2 linked regions of the Arabidopsis thaliana genome follow. The protein of the gene in region 2 interacts with the protein of the main gene of each other region in a pairwise test. Each region holds a gene or a part of one and is shown on either strand. Other genes may lie near its edges.

Region 1 (6,652 bases), on a different chromosome or scaffold from region 2:
TAGGATCAGAGGGAATAGTAAATTTATAATCAGTGTAGTGAAAAATGTGTAAATAAATAATGTAAAACCAATTGAAACTGCAAATGTTAAATTATGAATTAAATTAATTACTATAAAAAGAAATAATATAATGCTAAGTATTTATTTATAAAATTATAATCCTTTTAAATGTGTAAAAAATAATAAAGAGTAATGGATAATTAAACCCAGCCCATTAAGTTTCATAAGCCCATTTTACTCTACTGTCTTCTTTCTCTTTTTTTTGACAATCTTTACTTTCTTCTTCTAAGCTCTATAAGAGAGACCATCCTCCTCTAGCTTGAAGCAAACGAAAAGCTTTTGAAGAACAGAGGAACAAGAAGAAGAAAGATGTTCAGGAACCAGTACGACACAGATGTGACAACATGGAGTCCCACAGGTCGACTATTCCAAGTCGAATACGCCATGGAAGCTGTGAAACAAGGCTCCGCAGCAATAGGACTCAGATCTCGCTCTCATGTCGTCCTCGCTTGTGTCAACAAAGCACAATCAGAGCTCTCTTCTCATCAAAGGAAGATCTTTAAAGTCGATGATCATATTGGTGTTGCTATTGCTGGTCTCACTGCTGATGGTCGTGTTCTCTCTCGATATATGAGATCTGAGTCTATTAATCACTCTTTTACTTATGAGTCTCCTCTTCCTGTTGGTCGTCTTGTTGTTCATCTTGCTGATAAAGCTCAGGTAAATTGAGATTTTTGGGTTAACTTTTGAATTTTGACCTAGAATTTGCTAAAGGGTTTAGTTTTATGATGTGTGAGTATCTGAAAGTTTGAAGCTTTATGTAATTGGAGTAAAGTTTAGGTTTTTATTAGCAATGTGGCCAATTTTATTTGTAGAATGTGTGTGTTGTTATGCAAGTAGTGATATTGGTTTGTGATCAAGTCTTAGTGATTGGGAATTAGAGATTCTTGTGTTGTTAATCATATCCAGTTCTGTTGCTAGTTGCTTAATCCGATTAGAAAGAGTTAACCTGTATACCCACTTTGACGATAGAAGTGTATAAGAATGTGATGATTTTGGTCGTTTGGTTGTTTCTGTGTTGTCATCGTCTGTTCTCTTTGCTTGATAGAGTTGTTTTTGCTTGCAATTCTAGAATAAATATACGTCTTTGTTGATCTCTTTTTGGTTTTGTGGTTTTGACTTGTATTACTTTGCATTTGTTTACTTACTTGTAGTTGTAGTATGTCCTGGCCACTTTATTTACTTGCCTAATGAAGTATATTTTCAGTAAGATGTTGGTTTACAGTTGTGATAGAAATTTGTGCTACATGTTCACTACTTTTGGTGTTAAACGTAGTGTTCTCAAGTTAGATGATGTGTTCACAATTTTTAAAAGGTTTGATTGCTACGTCCCACTTACTTTCATGTCTGTCAAAAATTAAGTTAGCTGCTGTATCTACATTTTCAATTGATTTCTGAGAACGTATTGATATCAGTCTTGTAGTTTGAACAACACTCTGATTTCATTCAAATGTTAAGTCATTTGTTTGTCTTGTATTAAACATCTTCATAAATTATCTTTGAGCAGGTATGTACCCAACGATCATGGAAACGGCCTTATGGTGTGGGTTTGCTGGTAGGTGGATTGGACGAGTCAGGAGCTCACCTCTACTACAACTGCCCTAGCGGAAACTACTTTGAATATCAAGCATTCGCTATCGGGTCTCGTTCACAAGCTGCGAAAACCTATCTGGAGCGCAAATTCGAGAGCTTCCAAGAATCATCAAAAGAAGATCTGATAAAAGATGCTATTATGGCCATAAGGGAAACTTTGCAAGGGGAAACACTGAAGAGCTCGCTCTGCACTGTTTCTGTTCTAGGAGTCGATGAACCATTCCATTTCTTGGACCAGGAAAGCATTCAAAAGGTGATTGATACGTTTGAGAAGGTTCCTGAGGAAGAGGAAGATGCTGGTGAGGGTGAGGCCGAACCCGAAGCTGCTCCTGGTGCTGCTGGAACTGGTGAACAAGGTGGTTCAGGTGATCAAGATGTTGCACCAATGGAAATTTGAGCAAGAGGGAATGAGTTCAAAGTTGGATTTTCTAACCAATTTTCTTGTGTGTAGCTCTTTGATATGTTCCAACTTCCAAGTACAATTGTGGTTTTTATTCGGCTTTGTTTATTTAACAGCTTGGAACAAGGAGTTATTGAGTGCCACTAGCTTATGTTTAGTCCTACTTAAGTCAAATCTGTCACATGATAATAATAATCGGCGAATCGCCAACCTAGAGAGTGTATCAAACAGACACCATTTTGAATGAGAGAAACAGCGAGAGAAAGAATGAAAGATTAATCCAACTTTGTTTCTCTTTCTGCAAATTGTTCCTCGAAGAAATGACTTCATAATGCAACCATACATTATTGAGCAAGGATGATAAATCTCCTGCTTGCTCGGAAGAAAAGTTAAAACCAAAATAATATCTCTCTTGACCTTCCAGAGAATCAATCCTGTCTTGAAATGATTTCAACACACAAAAACAACCTGAGATTGGAATTAGAAGTACTGAGTAGACGGAACCTTGGCGACGGGTTTACCACCTGGTAAGACATTGTCGGGAAGAATCAACTCCGGTGGAGTTTCACGGGTAATCCCAAGCATTGAATCGTAATCCTCGTCCTTGCGTGCATACTTCTTCCTAAGCGCTCTCTCAACCTCGATCTGCTCAAATGACTTTGAATTCTCTGAGGCGTGAATCTGTGCGAGATTGATGTAATTCTTTGCTGACTGTGAGATGTATACTATCTCTTCATCTGTTAACTTTCTCATGAACTTTGCTGGATTTCCTCCCCACACCTGCCACATGAAACTGATAACTTATAGATATGTCCTTGTAAATATATTCTCAGGTTGACGGTTGAAGAAAGTAGTTCAAAAGCATAGCGATATAAGAAATCCGTCTAATTCCTCATAAAACATTGGAAACACAAGAACCCTCTGTTACTCCCAACTCACCCTTGTTTCATATACAAGTAGAATTGCAACGGAAACAAAGGTGGTTCTCAGATTTAGACGATATATAAATACTATTTACTCTTCTTTTTGATCAAAATATAATACAATTTACAGGCATATCATTTCATTAACTAATTCTGTATCAACTAAATTGTAAGCAAAGCAAAAGTGGATCTACTTGAAGAAGTTCAGCTGGTCAAGCCTTAGCTACAGGTCAGCGTAGGACTAAATGCAGCAGACTACAGCTGCTATTACTTGGTTAATTAGCAGTTCGTTATTAGGCTTGGTAGAGCTTCAGGGTCCGTGATAAGTAAACCTAGCTAGAGTTCTATTTTTGGTTCTTGATACTTTGGATTTTCTCGTTCAGTTTAGTGAGAAATAAAGCAGTTTCCAGTTCCAGTCTTATCACAAACTCCGTAAGCAGTAAACCAGAAAAGATAAAGTGGAAAGAAAGAAACCTCTCCAGAAGGGATTCGCGTGTTCTGTTTCACAAGAGAACCAGCAGCAACCATGGCATGTTTCTCAACCACCACACCATCAAGTAGTGTTGCTCCCATACCAACAAAAGCATCATCCTCAACAGTACACCCATGAATGACAGCACTGTGACCTGCTCCGTTTCATTTTACAAACAAAACCTTTAACTAACAATCGTGTAACACAACATAAAAACAGATACTTCAAAACTGATAAATCGCTTTTTAAGGTTTACCTACTGTTACATTGTCCCCAATCAGAGTAGGTAGAACCTTGCCACTTATGTTGGTCTTTGCAACATGTACAAGCGTATTATCTTGGATATTCGTCCCAGATCCAACACTGATGTTATTCACATCACCTGCACAAGTTAGAAACCCAGATTAACATACAATAAGTTTCACAGCTACTTCATGACACATTTTATCGACAGTACAATAAATCTATGTCCAATGATCAGGACAGTAACGTATAACAGCGATACAAGATTATTAGAAGGTAAAGAGAACTTCATTTCCTAAAACTAAACTATGACTACTTTGCACAATATACTGCTGCAAAATTTGGTACTTCTATCGAACCAAAGGCCATTAAGACTTTCTAGAAGTAATAAAGCCTCACCTCGAAGAACACAGCCATACCAAATCGACGAGCCTTTTCCGATCTGAACATCACCAATAACAGAAGCACTCGGAGCCACAAACACATCTTTATCCACCAATGGTGATTTATCAAACACATTCATCAACGTCCGATGCCTCGACACTGAAAACAAACACAAATTTCTCGAATCAAATTTTTTCAATCTAAGCCACAAATTTCTCCAATCAAAGGTGAAGACACAAATTAGAGATAACGAATTGGATCTAGGGTTTCAATAGAGAGTATTAAGTGGAAGGATCTGGAAGCTTACGATGTTCCTCGATACGGTGACTTCCTTGAAGAAGAGAACCAACGCGATCAAGAGCTTGACCAGTTCCACGAATCCAGTTACCCACAGTGTAAATTGCTCGTCCTAGGGTTCCCATTTTTTTGTGATTCTCCGATTACCCAAAGTGTGAAAATGAGAAGGCTTTGTTGTTTTTGGTGTCGCTCCACCAGATAGAGAGAGGTTTATGGAGGCGTATTGATGGGAGGATTTTTTTTTTTAACTCGAGTGAGTTCGTTTATTTTGTTGACCTCTAAATTTTTAGAGTATGGAGTGGTAACTGGTAAGCTAAACCAAACCGAAATTTATTGGTTGGACTTACAGAGATTGTGAATACAAAATCCGGATAGATTCGTTTTGCAATGTAAGGAGATGGAACAAAGCTTTCAGGAGACAAACACAAAAATGAGTAAAATAATTAATATAATTTAGCAAAGAAAATAAAGAGATAAAAATAGAGATATTAGCTTATATTGTGCATTGGATATTGGAAGTATTGCATAAAGCAAAGAAATAGTTTTTAGTATAAGGATTGGAAAAAACATTGTTTGTATCTAAAATGGGGTCAAGAATGTAGAAGATGGAGTTTCTTGGGTGTTTTTCTTGGAGTTATACTAGAAAGAAGTCGGGCAAGTGATATTTACGCGTGGGCGATTTCTCTCTCAAATTTTTTTCTTCTTATAATCACAATCTCTTGTTCCGTCAATAAGTTTTTTCGTTGACTCCAGCGACGAAGAAACCCATTGGGACATGGTGCTTCAACCGTGATCCGCTACATCTTCTCGGCAATTCAATCTATTCAAAATCAAGGGAGCAGTGGAGGGCAAATGCGGCATTAGGGGAGTGCAAGAGGAGCAATTGCACAGGATCCAAAAATTATTTGATCAAAATTAAAGGGTAAAATAAAAAAATTTATCAAATTTGAGGTCAAAAAGATAATTTTGACTAAATCTGAGGGCCATAATAAAATTTTAACTAAATGTAAGGGCCAAACTCAAAATATTTAGTATAAAAGGGCTAAATTTGAAAATTTGTACAGTGACAGAGAATATATTGAGTTGGCCCTGGTGGAGGGGAGAAGATTATGCGAGACACTGTCGGTAAGAGCTATATCGGTGGTGTGGCTTCACGGAGAGGAAGGATGAGACTTCACAGTGAAGAACAAGGGCTGACGGCGGTTAGGTCGGAAGTCTAAAGATTCTGGAGGTTTCATTGGGTCGCCGCTTGATGGGGGAGGTCGACTCCGCTTCGGTGAGGCTTTACCACCGTCGATGGTCTTGAGATCTACTCACTACTGCCGTCAACTCTCTCGACTGAGCTATGAGATTCATGACTATGGCAACCCGGATCGCCTCTTCCTCCTCAAAACTGCTCTACGGTGGCAGGAGGACAACGGATCCTGAATTACCATCTCCGTTCGACGAATCTCGTCTAGGCTCCCCAAAGGGTTTCTGTTCCGGTGAGATTCTGCAATTCTTGGACGGCGGCTCAGATCGTGTTTTACGATATGAGATTAGGATTTTCAACTTTCGGTTTAGATCGGTTTTGTAATAGATGGTTTAGTCTGGTTATATGTAAGTGGATTGAGTCTAAGGGAAAATGTATGAGCCTAAATCCGGAAATAGTCCATTGGACCTTATTTATAACATTGAAAACCATTTTACAAAAAAAAAGATGGAGTCTCTTTTCTTAGGGTCTCCACCTCTCTTTATAGTCTTTTCCTTCCTCCTATGTATCTTTATTTGGCCATTAGGTACATATCTAGCTCATAAAATAACTCTCATAATTAATTCGTAAACTTGAATGGCAAGTTTACTCCTTAAACCATGACCATTAATTCATAAATTTAATCACAAATTAATATCAAGATTTAACCACCTTTCTTATGCAAGATGTACATTCTTTGCTCTGTAAAGTGATGGAACTTGGATGCGTAAGATGGATTTGTCGTGCGCGATCCGGTATCAACATAAGCTTGAGTTCTTTGAGTAAGGTTATTTGCTTGAAGACTAATATTCTTGTAATGCTGTTGGATATGAATTTGGATTAAGTAGTTGCGAGGTGACCTGACAAATACGCCGTGAGAAGGACTTAGTTCAAGTGATTGCGAAGTAAACCCAACTTATGCATCATGAGATGAGCTCGGTTTGAGTGATTTGTGAGGTGGAATCGATATATGTGTCGCGAGCTGAAGAGAACATCGAATATGCTCTTTCCGAGTTGGAGCCTTAATCCTGAAATTTGTAACGAAAGTT
Region 2 (5,625 bases):
CTCACAAGGGAGACCATATGATCACATTCCAATTCCGTGAGAAACCCTTCATACACAAACGCCCTGAACACAAGTAAAAAAAAAAAACGAATTTTTCAAAATTGTTAACATTCAAAGTTTTGAAATTTCCCAAAATCACTTTAGGGGTTTTGAGGAAACCTGGGTTTCGATGAAACCTGCTTGACTTTGGAAGGATTGACGAAGACGCTAGAAGAACTGATCAGAGAAGTGGAAGATTGAAGCAGGACGGAGAAGATAGCGAAGAACGAAATCAATAATCCACGTCGAGCCATCGATACCGCTTGGATCTAGATGTACAAGGAAAGGAGATCGGAAGAGAGTAAAAGTTTAATTATTTTTTTCCGGGAAAATAAAAGATGAGAGAGCTTTTCTCGGGAAAGTGTTCAACGGTGATGACAACTTTAAGCTCTACCTAACGATATAACGACAAAACGCATACGTCGCTTGCGTTTCGGTTCTTTCAGAACTTTGGCTCCGAACCGAATCGAACCGAACCGGCTCCTTCTTAATTAGCAGCTCTTTTAAGAAAATTTTACAGAAATTGTTTAAAGTGGAAACATTTGAAAAAGGATTATCTGAGAAATTTTGAAATGGCAGAATTTATTATATGTTTGTATTTTTTTTTCTTTTAGGTTTTATGAAACATTGTAATTTTTGGAGTTGAATTTTGATTTTTTTATATACTTTTTGTTATTTGGAGTAGAGTGGATCGAATAATTGTTGATACAAATATAGTAAAACGGTCTACGAATACCATAAAAATTCAGGATATCTGATCCGCGTCTATCCCTAAATAGTAGGTGAATACGAAACGAATAACAAAATTCATACTGTGAAAATAACAAAACGATAGTTTTAAGTCAAATATGGGGAAAAAGGAAAGAACACAACGTCATGATCATGATCAAATACATACACCATGGTACAATATATGTTAAGGCAATATTGAACTTTTTCAGTCCTTTTCTCTACTAACTTAATATCCAATCCTGATCGGATTCATCTCCAATCCTCAGCAGTCATACAAACTCTATAGTGAACAAATATATGGACTCAATGAAATGTTTGTCTTGCATTTAGCAAGTAGGACATTTCAGAATTAATCCTTAGATGTTCCGAGAACGGTCTCCATGTGTCGATTAATATCGTTTAAATATCTTGTCGAGTTGTATTCTTCGTTATCCAATAGTTCTTCAGAGTAAGTCCTCTGGAGTTTGGAGTTTTCTCGCTCTCTTAGCTTATCTAAGCTGCACTTGTCTCCCCTCAGAATCTCCACAACCTGTATATGTGACCAAATTAATCACCTGTATATGTAACTTGATGATGGAATTGAATATTTTGATATGCTTGCCTGGCTCATCTGAGGCCGGTTCATGGAGGTTTGATGTATACACAAGGAAGCTATGAAGACAAGACGGTCCAACTCTTCTACGTCGTAGTCATCTTCCAGAATCGGATCAACAAGTTGTTTGATCTTGTTCTCTTTGATCAATGGCTTAGCCTACAAAGACATAGATATGTTAGGGATTTCACAATGAAAAAAACAGATCAATTAGTTTTAAACCTTCTAGGATTTTGAAGAAAGTACGAGATAAGGATTCTATCTAGCTATGGTTGAAGAGGTAGCCACATCACATACCCACATGACAATGCTATGTTGTGAGCTGTCGAGGGCTTGTCTACCGGTAATGAGCTCGAGAAGCAGGACACCATAAGCATATACGTCTGTTTTCTCGTCTACTATCCCATGCATGAAAAACTCTGGCGGAAGGTAACTGATCGATGAACACATAAGAGATTATGTAAGATAGATATATATAAAACACATGATATTTGTGAATCAGTGTGTATGATCTTTAACAAAGAGAGAGATTCCAAACCCGAATGTTCCTTCAACTTTTGATACAGTATGGTGAGTCCATTGGTCTGGTAGCCATTTCGCTAGCCCGAAATCCGATATCTATAGTCAACATTTGTTCGAAAAAAATCAATAAATTACTTCAAAATAAATCTTTTTTCATAATAATAACTTCAAAAGACAATAAACTAGGGTATGAAGATCTTAGGTTTTTCTTAGTAATAATTACCTGAGCCTCAAAGTTCTGAGTGAGAAGAATGTTAGAAGCTTTAATGTCTTTATGAATGATTCTTCTCTGACAACCTTCATGGAGATAGTAGAGTCCCTCTGCTGTTCCCATCGCCACTTTGTATCTCATGCTCCAATTCAGTTTCTCCTTCGCCTCTACAAAATGGTACAAGGATATTTGTTTGGTTTTTGATCCAAATCATAGTTTGAGATGACATTGAAAACATCAAACAAAAGAGAATTATATATCACCGTAGAGCAAAGAAGCAAGGCTTCCATTAGGAGATAGCTCAAGAACAAGATGCATTCCTCCTTCAACACAATAACCAATAAGCTTAGCAATGTTTGGATGATCTACATGAACAATGATCCCTAGTTCGGACAGATAATCCATCGTCATCTCTTCTGCAGAACCTCTAGTCAACTTCTTTATCGCTACTATCTGCCCATCTGCCATTTGTCCCTTATACACCTCCGCATATCCTCCTTCTCCGATCAGATTTTCTGCCATAATATCCACATGTTTTCATGTTACATCACTGCATAAAATAGTATTTATCTATTGAAAATGTATAACAAGGGTTCTTTAGAGGTTTCCGGACCACGGCTGTAGTCATTTGTCGCGGTCTGAATATCTCGGAGAGAGAAGTTCCTCCAGGAGGGTTTGAAATAGAACAAGTGATCAGTGTCAAGAGCAGGTATAACGGGAACCATGTTGTCCCTTATGCGTTTGCTCTTCCGTCTGGTCAGTTTCGGAACTCCTTTGAGAGGTGTGAACGTGTTGAATGGCATTGCGGATGATCCTTTCTTAAGCAAACGGAAGAAACCTCTTCTCCAGTGACCGTTGTTGGGACCTCCAGACGAATGATGATGATGGTGATGGTGATGAGTTTCTGATGAGTCTGACGTGCTCACCACGGAAGATGAAGTTTCGGCTTCTATGCTCCTTAATAATTCATCGTCTGATTCCGATTTGATGGGGCAGAATGTTTTTACTTCTTCATCTCGACAGAATGATGATAAATCTGTTGCACAGAAAACGAAATTCATGCCAAGGACAAGGACAAGGACAATCTCAAGTCAATGAGATCTTTATAAAACCTAATTAATGATGATGCAGTTTTTAATAAATTACCATGAGAAGAGAAAGAATCAGAGAAGCCGGCTCGAGATCGTCTTGTAGAAGGAGTTAATTGTTTTCCACGATTGTCAACGTCTACATCGCTGAGTTTGTATATTTCCATATGAGATGACTTGTGAGACACGGTACATAATCATATACAAATCTTGTAGATGTTTCTGAAACAAACAGTATATCTTGTAGAAAAGATGAAAGAAAATTTACCAGGACGGAGACGAAGAAGACGACGTCGTGGAAGAGATAGTTTGTGACGATGAGTCTCGAAGGCCTTCCATGGATTGGAGACAAGAAATGAGACAAAAAAGGGAAAGAGAGAGAAAGAGAGAAGAGATCAAAGACTAAGGAAAGAGAGAGAGAAAGTAACCATGATCATTGGTTTTCTCTTACACCACCTCATCTTCTCTTCTTGTTATTAACTGAAAATCCGCCTCTTCTCTCTTTCTTAATCTTAGACGAAAGAAATATCCATTTTTGCATTTCAGACAGAAAATCGCCAGAGAATATTCTCCATAATTTGATCAAATGTTTTAAAATCCTAAATTTAGAATACTAACAGACTAATGTCTTTTTAGTTGTCAAATTGGAACAAAAATTTAAATCACCATTTTGCAACAAAAACAATGACATTTTCTTTGATATTCAAGAAAACAAAAATTGTTTGTTTGGTAGTTTATTCTCTATTGATTGTGATAGCTCCCACGTTGGTGGGTAACGCCACGTGTCACAGTGACCCGACAAAGGTTAGTGGAGCTGAAGTCATTTGAGACAACAATCTTTGTCTTTTGTTCAACTTCTACTCTTGGACTTATCTACATGTTGACCACTTATGCATGAGACTGAAAGCTTCTTCTTATACCAACTAAACGGGCCTGGGCTTTAGGTTAAAAAACTTTAAAAGCCCAAAAGAATAAAATAACTTTCCGATTTCTGAATCTTCTTCTTCTCTGCTGAAGAAACTAAATTTCGCAGTGAAATGGAGAAAGTGACGGAGAATCCCAATTCCGAGACGCAACCTTCTCCTCCTCCTCCGCCGAATCATCAAATGGATGCAGACGACGATGACGAGAATGTGAAACAGCTCAAGGAGTGTTCTTCTCTCTATTTATCTTTACAGGTTTGTGTTTCTCATCTCTTTGATTTCCCCAAATCAAATTCCTTAAATCATTGATTTCGATTTTGTTTGTCTCCGATTTTGTAGGATTGTCTTGTTGATAGTAATAGGGACTGGAAATCTTGCCAAAAACGTACGTCACTCTCTCTATCTCTATCTCAATTTGTAAATTCTGAAATCTGAGGGTTTTAGTTTAGAGCTCAGGGGTTTAGGGTTTGTACCTAATCGAACGAAACTGGGATTATTGTTAATATGTGTGAGGAATTGTTGGCTGATTGATAAAAGAACTGATGGATTCGGACAAAATGTTGATAAGAGTTTGTTGTTTGTTATGTGTTACAAAGATGTTCAAGCTTTGAAGGAATGTCATGAAAGGAGAATGAAGAAATGATAGAGATTAAGAAAAGCCAATACTTGATTAGTTACTGCTTATAGAGGAACCATATAAGTATGACATTTTTGTCGTCTTGCAAAATTGATTAATAAAACGGTGTCTTGTGATTGTGTTCTTGTTGGGGGGATTGCAAAATTTACAAGCTTTCATTCAATGTAATCTTGGTTTTATTTTGTTGCTATTTGATTTTGGTTCATTGCATAGAATCTTTCTCTTTACTCTTAAGACTTCTCTTTCTGACACTTATTTCGGATAAGACAATAGTGATGGTGTTTTGAGACAGTTTGATTTGTTTTCTTCGTGGTAGAATTTGGCTCTGCTTTATAATGAGATCTTGAACGTTTGACTCCTTTGCGAAGAACCTTTGTACATCACTCTTCCAGAAACTATATAAGAAGAGCAAAACAAGCTCGTTAAAAGATTTGATTTTTGATTTATTTACTTGGGATGAACTGAGATAAGTCATGTTTTTGGCTAAGGTTTACTTTTTAGCCAATTATTCTCACGTGCAAACTGGATTTTGATATGTTGCGGTGGGAAAACTTACATGCGCGATTATTAAAAGTAAATCACATATTAATACTTTTAATTGGTCAGCCACAAAAAGTGTAACCTTACTTTTTTTGCCTTATGAGTTTTAGATTCATTGGATTTTAATTTTTTTAGTATGTAGTAATAGATTTTAAAATTTATTCATTCTTTGACTTCTTATGGTTAAATGTCAAACACACACATGGAGAAAAAAAAGCATTTGCCTAAAAAAAGAGCATGAGCCGCCAAGTCCTTAATATTATCCAAGTTTTTAGGGTCACAGTTTCAAGTTATGCATAATTTTAAAATTTTATTTCATTCTTGATTGTTCTATGCTTGAT

What was found.
Region 1: the proteins of AT5G18910 (region 2) and GAMMA CA2 interact in a two-hybrid assay, tested with the Arabidopsis thaliana proteins (one large-scale study listed by BioGRID).

The regions. Positions count from the first base shown.
Region 1 is NC_003070.9:17,318,851-17,325,502, forward strand, and holds GAMMA CA2 (gamma carbonic anhydrase 2), read right to left. Parts: upstream 4,635-6,652; 5' UTR 4,498-4,634; coding exon 4,383-4,497; intron 4,235-4,382; coding exon 4,091-4,234; intron 3,831-4,090; coding exon 3,705-3,830; intron 3,603-3,704; coding exon 3,451-3,602; intron 2,834-3,450; coding exon 2,534-2,833; 3' UTR 2,051-2,533; coding exon of another isoform or gene 1,568-2,050; 3' UTR 721-1,567; downstream 1-720. Other genes in the region: PAF2 (20S proteasome alpha subunit F2), read left to right, coding at 370-720, 1,568-2,050; AT1G47265 (uncharacterized protein), read left to right, coding at 5,718-5,948. UniProt on the Arabidopsis thaliana protein: Enzyme involved in the catabolism of H(2)CO(3) but that does not mediates the reversible hydration of carbon dioxide. Mediates complex I assembly in mitochondria and respiration. Binds HCO(3)-.
Region 2 is NC_003076.8:6,305,874-6,311,498, forward strand, and holds AT5G18910 (Protein kinase superfamily protein), read right to left. Parts: upstream 3,706-5,625; 5' UTR 3,524-3,705; coding exon 3,453-3,523; intron 3,332-3,452; coding exon 3,243-3,331; intron 3,133-3,242; coding exon 2,710-3,132; intron 2,612-2,709; coding exon 2,360-2,611; intron 2,264-2,359; coding exon 2,109-2,263; intron 1,982-2,108; coding exon 1,902-1,981; intron 1,797-1,901; coding exon 1,661-1,796; intron 1,523-1,660; coding exon 1,373-1,522; intron 1,301-1,372; coding exon 1,121-1,300; 3' UTR 726-1,120; downstream 1-725. Other genes in the region: AT5G18900 (2-oxoglutarate (2OG) and Fe(II)-dependent oxygenase superfamily protein), read right to left, coding at 6-63, 160-293; AT5G18920 (Cox19-like CHCH family protein), read left to right, coding at 4,222-4,362, 4,447-4,542.